Linked DNA regions of Mus musculus. The protein of the gene in region 1 purifies or fractionates together with the protein of each later gene. This does not show direct contact. Links are inferred from orthologs where the notes say so. Each region holds a gene or a part of one and is shown on either strand. Other genes may lie near its edges. The genes, in order: Prdm16 and Ctbp1.

Evidence for each region.
Region 2: the proteins of Prdm16 (region 1) and Ctbp1 purify together in Homo sapiens (affinity purification with mass spectrometry; 3 studies listed by BioGRID and IntAct, with this or other methods). This does not show direct contact. The link is inferred for Mus musculus from reciprocal best matches to the Homo sapiens genes PRDM16 and CTBP1.

What each region holds. Positions count from the first base shown.
Region 1 is NC_000070.6:154,318,596-154,322,405, reverse strand, and holds part of Prdm16 (histone-lysine N-methyltransferase PRDM16), read left to right. Parts: coding exon 1-135; intron 136-1,483; coding exon 1,484-1,618; 3' UTR 1,619-3,810. UniProt on the Homo sapiens protein: Binds DNA and functions as a transcriptional regulator. Displays histone methyltransferase activity and monomethylates 'Lys-9' of histone H3 (H3K9me1) in vitro.
Region 2 is NC_000071.6:33,247,122-33,251,213, reverse strand, and holds the end of Ctbp1 (C-terminal-binding protein 1), read left to right. Parts: intron 1-141; coding exon 142-356; intron 357-712; coding exon 713-843; intron 844-1,499; coding exon 1,500-1,627; intron 1,628-1,989; coding exon 1,990-2,107; intron 2,108-2,527; coding exon 2,528-2,714; 3' UTR 2,715-3,491; downstream 3,492-4,092. UniProt on the Homo sapiens protein: Corepressor targeting diverse transcription regulators such as GLIS2 or BCL6. Has dehydrogenase activity. Involved in controlling the equilibrium between tubular and stacked structures in the Golgi complex.

The DNA.
Region 1 (3,810 bases):
CCGACGCCGACCTTTGGGAAGGGGCTGGATCTCCGCAGAGCAGCTGAGGAAGCATTTGAAGTTAAAGATGTGCTTAATTCCACCTTAGATTCTGAGGTTTTAAAACAAACCCTGTACAGGCAGGCTAAGAACCAGGTAGGTACCCAGCAGAGCCCTCGTCCCTCCTCCCATTCCCACTTGGCTTAGACAGCAGGCAGCCGCCATGCCTCCTCACCATAGGATACCTGAGAACTCTGGCTGTAGCTCTCCCATGGCTGGAGGACGGACATTCCGATCCACAGCCCCCATGCCCACTTCATTGTCTGAAGAGACAGCCCGTAGCTGTGAGCCTCCAGCAGCCTGGTGGAGAGCAGATGGGGCTTGGAAGACGGATTAGCGTGAGATAGCTCTCATATCATGAGTGAGGGCCGTTTTCCTGGTCTTCCTATCCCAGCCCCAGTCCGGAGCATCTCTATCGGGTTCTGTTCCCTCCTCCAGCTTCTGGGTCTCCCCATCTCTGGTCTGAACCAGGATGGGTGACTACCTTGCTGTTTTAGGAAAAGTCTCCATCAGGTGGTCCCGGTTTCTAAGCTGGAGCTAACACAGGGTCCTTGAGGGTATGTGCAGGCTTGTCCTGGGCACTCCTGTGTTCACATCTCAGGGACAGTGGCTACAGGACTCTAGACCCCATTGTTGGGACATCAAAAGGGGCTTGGCTCTCATTCCAGCCTTCCCAGCACCACCTAAATACTTTCACCCCAATTCGTCTGCGTGTCTGTCTTCGTCTCTAACTACTTCTGTCTAGTGTTTGCTCAGAGGTATGGGGGATCTATACTGGGCATCCCCAGCGCCCACCTGTAACTCACATACTATGCTGCACACAGCCTTCAGCCCTGGCACCTCCTGTCCTGAGTTTGAGGCAGGAGGATGCCCCATGATTGTCCCAAACTAGCAAACACAACAGATTACCTTAGAATTGCAACAGCTCAGAGACACTACCCACTCTGCTCCAAACAGCAGCCCACCACGGTCATTCAGAGTCCCACTAGACAATGGCAGTCTCACTAGCACAGAATCAGGAATAACTCCTGCCAATCCCCAGGATGTCCCGTAGCAGACATCTGTTCATCAGCTTTTGCCAGTCACTAGGCAGAGAAACCAAGGGTCGGGGGGAGGTGGAGATGCAATTGCAAGGGAGCATCCCAAGAGGTCAAGAGATCCCCGCAGGCACAGAGACCTCTAGAGGGACTACTGTGTGTCCTGGTGTCACTCTGGGCAGGAAAGGTCCCCTCTCCTCTCATGTACTCCTGTCTCCCTCTCCCAAGCCAGAGGAGTCTGAGCCTCTCTAATGCCTTTGCTTCTCTTTCTCTATCTAGACTGGGTGGGGTGAGGGAGGAGAGGGCAGGGGCGGAGCTGGACAGGTTGGGTACAGCTGGTGAGGCAAGGCTCAGGCCTACCTATCTAGGATGCCCCTCACCTGTCCTGTGTGTGCTGTGTCCCCCAGGCATATGCAATGATGCTGTCCCTCTCTGAAGACACTCCTCTCCACGCCCCCTCCCAGAGCTCACTGGATGCTTGGTTGAACATCACAGGACCCTCGTCAGAGTCCGGAGCCTTTAACCCCATCAACCACCTCTGAGGTCCTGGAGGCCCCAGGGCCAGAGTCCAAAGCCAGGGTACCAGCTGCAGGAGATGGAGAAGGGGCCAGGGAGCAGCCCCCCACCCTCAACACCTCCACTTTGCAAAGTCCAGCTTCTCCATTGAAACTCAGAACCCGAAGGTCCCTTGAGTAGCCGCTGGCCTTCATCACCTCTCAGAACTGGCCTCAAGGACACGATCTGCAGTGGGTGCGGTGCACGGGCCACCCAGGAGCTGCTCACAGGAGCCATGGATCAGAAAACTCGTGGGCAAGGGTGGGGTCTCTATCCCAGCAGGAGCCAGTTGGCCACATCCAGGCAACTGCATGGTATGAAAGAGGAAATCGGAAAGACGTGGGCAAGTGCTATGGAGAGAGACCTCATCAATGATTTTTATAATGAGAATCACATGATTAAGCCTTTTGGTAATCTTATTGACTATAGAGTCTATTTAAGCATGTGGGTTTTAAAAAAAATAGACGGTATTTTTTAAAAATCAAAAAAAAAAAAAAAAGACTTGCAAAATGTTTTTTTAAAAGTAATTTTGCATCGCTTTGGAATTTCAGCTTATTGGCAAACCCACACCTGCCAGGACATCGAGTACGGCTCGGGTGTGCCCTTTATAATGTAAATAATGGAGAATTTTTTTTCTATCTCTGACCTGTTTGTATAAGCCAAGGTGATTCCAGTGTGCCCGACACAGGATAAGGGGCATGGAGCCACTCTGCTAAGTCAGATGCTGACTACACAAGAATTCATGGACGTGGTGCCTGGCTGCAGGTTTGCAGAGGGAGGCCAGGAGAAAGAGGTCGCCTTGCCCTGTGTGCTCTGCAGAGGAATCCACGGGTCCCACCCAAGACCCTCCCCAATTGTATGGGGAAGTCGGGAGCCAGTGGCTCAGGTCTTCCATGCTGGACACCTAAGGATCTTCCCCTTCAGCAGCAGCACTGGCCTTGACTGCTGCTCTTCTGAAGGCAGGGCTCTGGGCCATGTGGAGGCCTCCAGCCTTCTACCCTCCCCAACCCTGGCAGGCTGATGCCCTCCCCATGGCCACTGAGTGTGGGACGCCTGCCCACCTGCTACTCCACTCCAGGACACCAAGCACTACCTGTGCCTAAGACTCCAGATCAATCACACAGTCGCCACTTCTGCTCTTTGTGTGGGTTCCTGGTGAGAATAGGACGGGGACAGGAGGAAGATCCAGGGGACCTGCCACAGCAAAGAACAGAGACAGTACAGACCCCAAGACCGGATGCCTCACTCATTTGGGACGGTCAGAACGTGTCTACTTCTCTGCTTGGATGGGCTTTAAATTATCCCATAGGGGCCAATTTCAAATAATTTCTTTTCCTGATGGAATTTACCTTAATCTGTATATAACTTGTAATTTTTTTTTCTAATTCATTTCTTTCCTTATTTTATTTCTTCCTTAACAGTATTTTTGGCATTGGACAACTTATTCTGAAGAAATGATGTTAATATAAGTATGTAGTGAAGGACCAAACCGTGTGATAAGGTTGTGTGCTGTGTGATCGGTACCCAGGGAGCGGGGCGGTGTTAATGTGCCAAATACCCCTGTGTCCCTCCCTCCAGGAGTTCCACGGTCACCACTGCCCACTTACCAGACAATCATATGATTTTGTTAAATTTGAGTTTCAGTTACATTTTAAGACAAGTGTTCTATTTATTTTATTGTTTGGAAGGAGGGGGGCATATCCCAACAAGATAAGAAGGAACAGAGACCGCCTGGGTTGTCATTTAAAACTACAAGAGATTGTGATTGTGTGAGCGTCAGCAAACTCGGAGCACGCGTGTCATGCCGTGGGCCTGTCAGCGGTTCCCTCTGGGAGCAACTTAAACATCCAAGCACAGATCTTTTATATTTGCTAAGGCCGTTCTGGGACAAAGACCGTCATCTTTGCTGATGCTCAGTGGTCCAGGCTACGCTGGGATCCGTGATGGGGATATCCCAGAAGACACCATTCCCCTGCAGGTTGCGGTGAATCTCAGTGACATAGCATGGAACAGTCAGTCCTGTGCCGTGCTCAGAAGCACACTCTCGAGTGCACACTGGACGGCCTGAGGCAGCAGGGACACTCTGCAGAGGAACTTGCCATGGTCCAGTGGTAAGGATTCGTAGGTCTAACTGCTCATGCTTCTCATGGGTTCGTGACATCATCTCCATGGCGGGCCA
Region 2 (4,092 bases), on another chromosome or scaffold:
AGTGTGTGTGACTGAGATCCCAGAGATCTAGGGAAACTTTGGTAGGCAGGCAGAGTTACCTGGGAGGCCCCTTGAATTATGGCTGTGAGGCTAGCAGCAAGCTCTGAGGATGCATGTCTCACTTCCTCTTGACTCTGCCAGGTCGTGTGGGCCAGGCGGTGGCACTTCGGGCAAAGGCTTTTGGCTTCAACGTCCTCTTCTATGATCCATACCTATCTGATGGAATCGAGCGGGCCCTGGGGCTACAGCGCGTGAGCACGCTGCAGGACCTGCTCTTCCACAGTGACTGCGTTACCCTGCATTGCGGCCTCAATGAGCACAACCACCACCTCATCAATGACTTTACTGTCAAGCAGGTACGCTGCAGCTTCCCCACCACCCTCCTCCCCTCTCCCACAGGGCAGTGCTGTCCCTTCTTCACAGTGTAGCCCTCTACTCTTCCCTCAGAGTTTACCCTTGTCCCTTCCCCCCAGGAGACAGTGGGCCTCTGGCCTAGACAGCAGCAGTAGTTAAATTCCTGGGCCTGTCTCATTCTGTTGATACATCAGGGTATACTTGCTGATGCTACTGCCCACCTGGCCCAGGGTCTCTCCCAGAACTTGTCTGTATCAGGCCATCCCCTGGTGGGTGGGAAGTGAGATTTGTTGTGGATGTGCCATTACAGTGAAAAGCCCCAGTGTCAGTCACTCACATGGTCATCCTGTCTTCTCAGATGAGACAAGGAGCCTTTCTGGTGAACACAGCCCGTGGTGGCCTGGTGGATGAGAAGGCACTGGCCCAGGCCCTGAAGGAAGGGCGGATCCGTGGCGCAGCGCTGGACGTGCATGAGTCAGAGCCCTTCAGGTGCCCCTGTGCCCTAAGATGGACTATGCCCACCAATCTGATGACTATGACGTGGGAGACCATGTATTTGAGCACTGCCCTCTTGCTGGCTGGGTTAGGGGAGGGTTTGCTGTCTGCTCTCAGGAGGGGACAAGATCCTCAAGAATCTGTCTAGCCTTGGCCATAGTAATGGGCTGGGCTTAGACTTGGCTTATTTTCAGTTTGTCTCTTGATGTCCATGATGGTCCCATGGTCCCCAGACTCAGCGGGGCCAAGGCATACACTAGCTTGGCTTCGCATGCAGCCTCTAGTCCAGTCTGGGCTGACTTCCTTCTTGGGGCTCCAGCAGCTGACAAAGCCCATCAAGGGATAGCAGACCAGTTGAGTGATTAGCCACTGAAGAACACAGTGGAGTCTGTCTGAGAGCCCTCATTCCTAGGGTTTGTTCTGCTGGGCAGGGCTGTGCCAGCACCACAGCAGGGCTCTTCCTCTAAGGCTCAGAATCCCCTCTACCCCTTACTGTTAAGACCTTGGGGTAGGTTTGCTAGTTCTGCAGTTCCACTTTTTCAGATGCCTTGGGAAAGGCCAGGGGCCCTCCCATCCCAGGGCTGGTTGCCTTCTGCACCTCCCAGACTTGGGTGCTCAGATCACTCTGACTGGGTATGTGCTATCCTCAGCTTTAGCCAGGGACCCTTAAAGGATGCACCCAACCTCATCTGCACACCCCATGCTGCATGGTACAGTGAGCAGGCGTCCATTGAGATGAGAGAGGAGGCAGCCCGGGAAATCCGGCGAGCCATCACAGGTGGGTAGCCATGCTATCAGGCTGGCAAGTTTGTTTTATGCCTGTTAAGGGGAGGTGACACTTGGTTGTTCTTTTATGGTGGGGGAGTCCCTTGGGGTGAAGTTGAGTAACACATCATTTTCGTACATGAAGACCTGCTGTGCTGGATGCCATCAGCTGCTTGTGAGCTGAGAGCACATGTATGGGGCTAAGGTCTCCAGGTTGGAAGCTGACTTTTCAGGTGGATGGTCCTATGATGTTCCTGGGGAGTAAGCCAGGGCTGTGGCAAGAAGGTGGCTCTGGGTCTGCCTCTTGGCCCCCACAGAGGCAGCAGTTTTAATCCACATTGCTGTCTCTCTCTGGTGTACCTTCCAACATCCTAGGCCGGATCCCAGATAGCTTGAAAAACTGTGTCAACAAGGACCACCTGACAGCCGCCACGCACTGGGCCAGCATGGACCCTGCTGTGGTGCACCCTGAGCTCAATGGGGCTGCCTACAGGTGAGCAGGCAAGGGAGGGGACAGTCTGCAAGACAATGAGGCTTAAACCTGGACCTTGGCTAGTAGGTTATGCAGTAGTGGGTCATATGACTGGGGCTACACCCTTATGTAAGGCCCCTGTGGATGTTAGAGGATTGAGCTGGATGGGACAGTCTACTTTTCTTGGGGTAAGAGGTTTGGCCTCCTAGACAGGACTGCTGGGCAGAACTGTTGTTGGGCCAGAGAGTAGTAAGGAGTCAGGGAATGGGGCTTGGGGAAGACCTCATGTGAGAAGCCAGGCTGTGATGCTGCCCAGCACTGACCAAGTGCTTACTGCCTCCAACTTTTCTGGACCTCAGGGGTCATTGATAACCATACAGAAAGGGCTGTGTGCAGCAGGTGGGTCTCTGTAGAGCTCACACGTCTGCCCTCCTCTCTCAGCAGGTACCCTCCAGGCGTCGTGAGTGTGGCCCCCACTGGCATCCCAGCTGCTGTGGAAGGGATTGTTCCCAGTGCCATGTCCCTGTCTCATGGCCTGCCCCCTGTGGCCCACCCACCCCACGCTCCCTCTCCTGGCCAGACTGTCAAGCCTGAGGCGGATAGAGACCATACGAGTGACCAGTTGTAGCCTGTGAGGAGCTGTCCAGCCTTGGCACCTGGTGGAGGGTGCTGCACGCTCTTGGACCCAAGTGTGCAGAGGTGGCATCCAGTGTGGGCCCTAGCACTCCAGAGACTGGCCCGGGCGTGCACTAGGCGGGGCAAGAGGAAGCACGTCCCCAAGTTGATTGTAGTTGTCCCGTCCTGTGGGCTGGCTCACTGTCCTGTGTCCTTTGCGTTCCTCGTTTAAGCAAAAGAAGTTAGTAGCTAATTCTATCACGAATGTTCTTGTCTGTGTACAGTTTTTAGAACATTACAAAGGATTTGTTTGCTTAGCTGTCAACAAAAAGAAAACCTGAGGGAGCATTCAGCAAGTCAGTTTGAGATTATTTTTCCTTTTCTACGTTGGAACGTGCCCCGGAATGTGGCCGTCGGCACACTTCTCAGGACAATGAATCCTTCCTGTTTTTCTTTTTATGCCACACAGTGCATTGTTTTTCTACCTGCTTGTCTTATTTTTAGAATAATTTAGAAAAACAACAAAGGCTGTTTTTCCTAATTTTGGCATGAACCCCTTGTTCCAAGTGAAGGCGGCATCACGAGTGGCTCCGAGGCGTCTGCAGTGCCCAGGGTGCTCAGGACCACCGGGGTCTGTCCTGGGGGAGGCAGGGGTTGGCAGACCCTTGCCTGCGTGGTGCCGTCCTGCTCATGTGGTAGGCTAGCAATATTTTGGTTAAAATCATGTTTGTGACTGTAACCATTTGTATGAATTATTTTAAAGAAATAAAAATCCCAGAAAGAGCCGGCACGCCTGGCACCAGTTTTAATGGCTTCATCAAATGGGAGCACTGGTGGGTCCCTTCTGGTCCTAGCTCTCATGACCTGCTCCACTCATCTTCTGTGGAGCAGGCAGTCCTGGGGAGACCCAGAAGAGGGCAGCAGCAGGTAGGGCTATAGTCCCCACTACATCTTAAGGGGATAGAGGGCCCTGGGTTGGGGAGGCCATCCTTACATACAGGGAGGGAGGGCTGTGGTGGGACCACCCCTTTTCTCCAAACAACAGCCCCTAGGCCAGCAGCTCTTGGACTGGCATTTTGGAAAAACCCACTGAAGGAAATTCAACAGAAAATTACTACTAAACAGAAGTTTTAGCTTGCATGCAAAGTGCCAGGCTGTGTGTGATTCGGTTTCCCATTTCCTCCACTGCATTGTCTTTAGATGCAGGCTGTGATCCACTGAACTGATTTGACAGTAATTCCCAAAAGGATCTGAGCCTGGCATCAATGTCCAGCCTGCAAATCAACCAAAGCAAAGAGGCTCTGCCTCTGTGGATGCTGAAATAGTTGAAAGTAGAAGCAAGCCTTCTGAGTAGAACTGTGGAGCTTCAGTGAACAGGCAGCATCAATCCC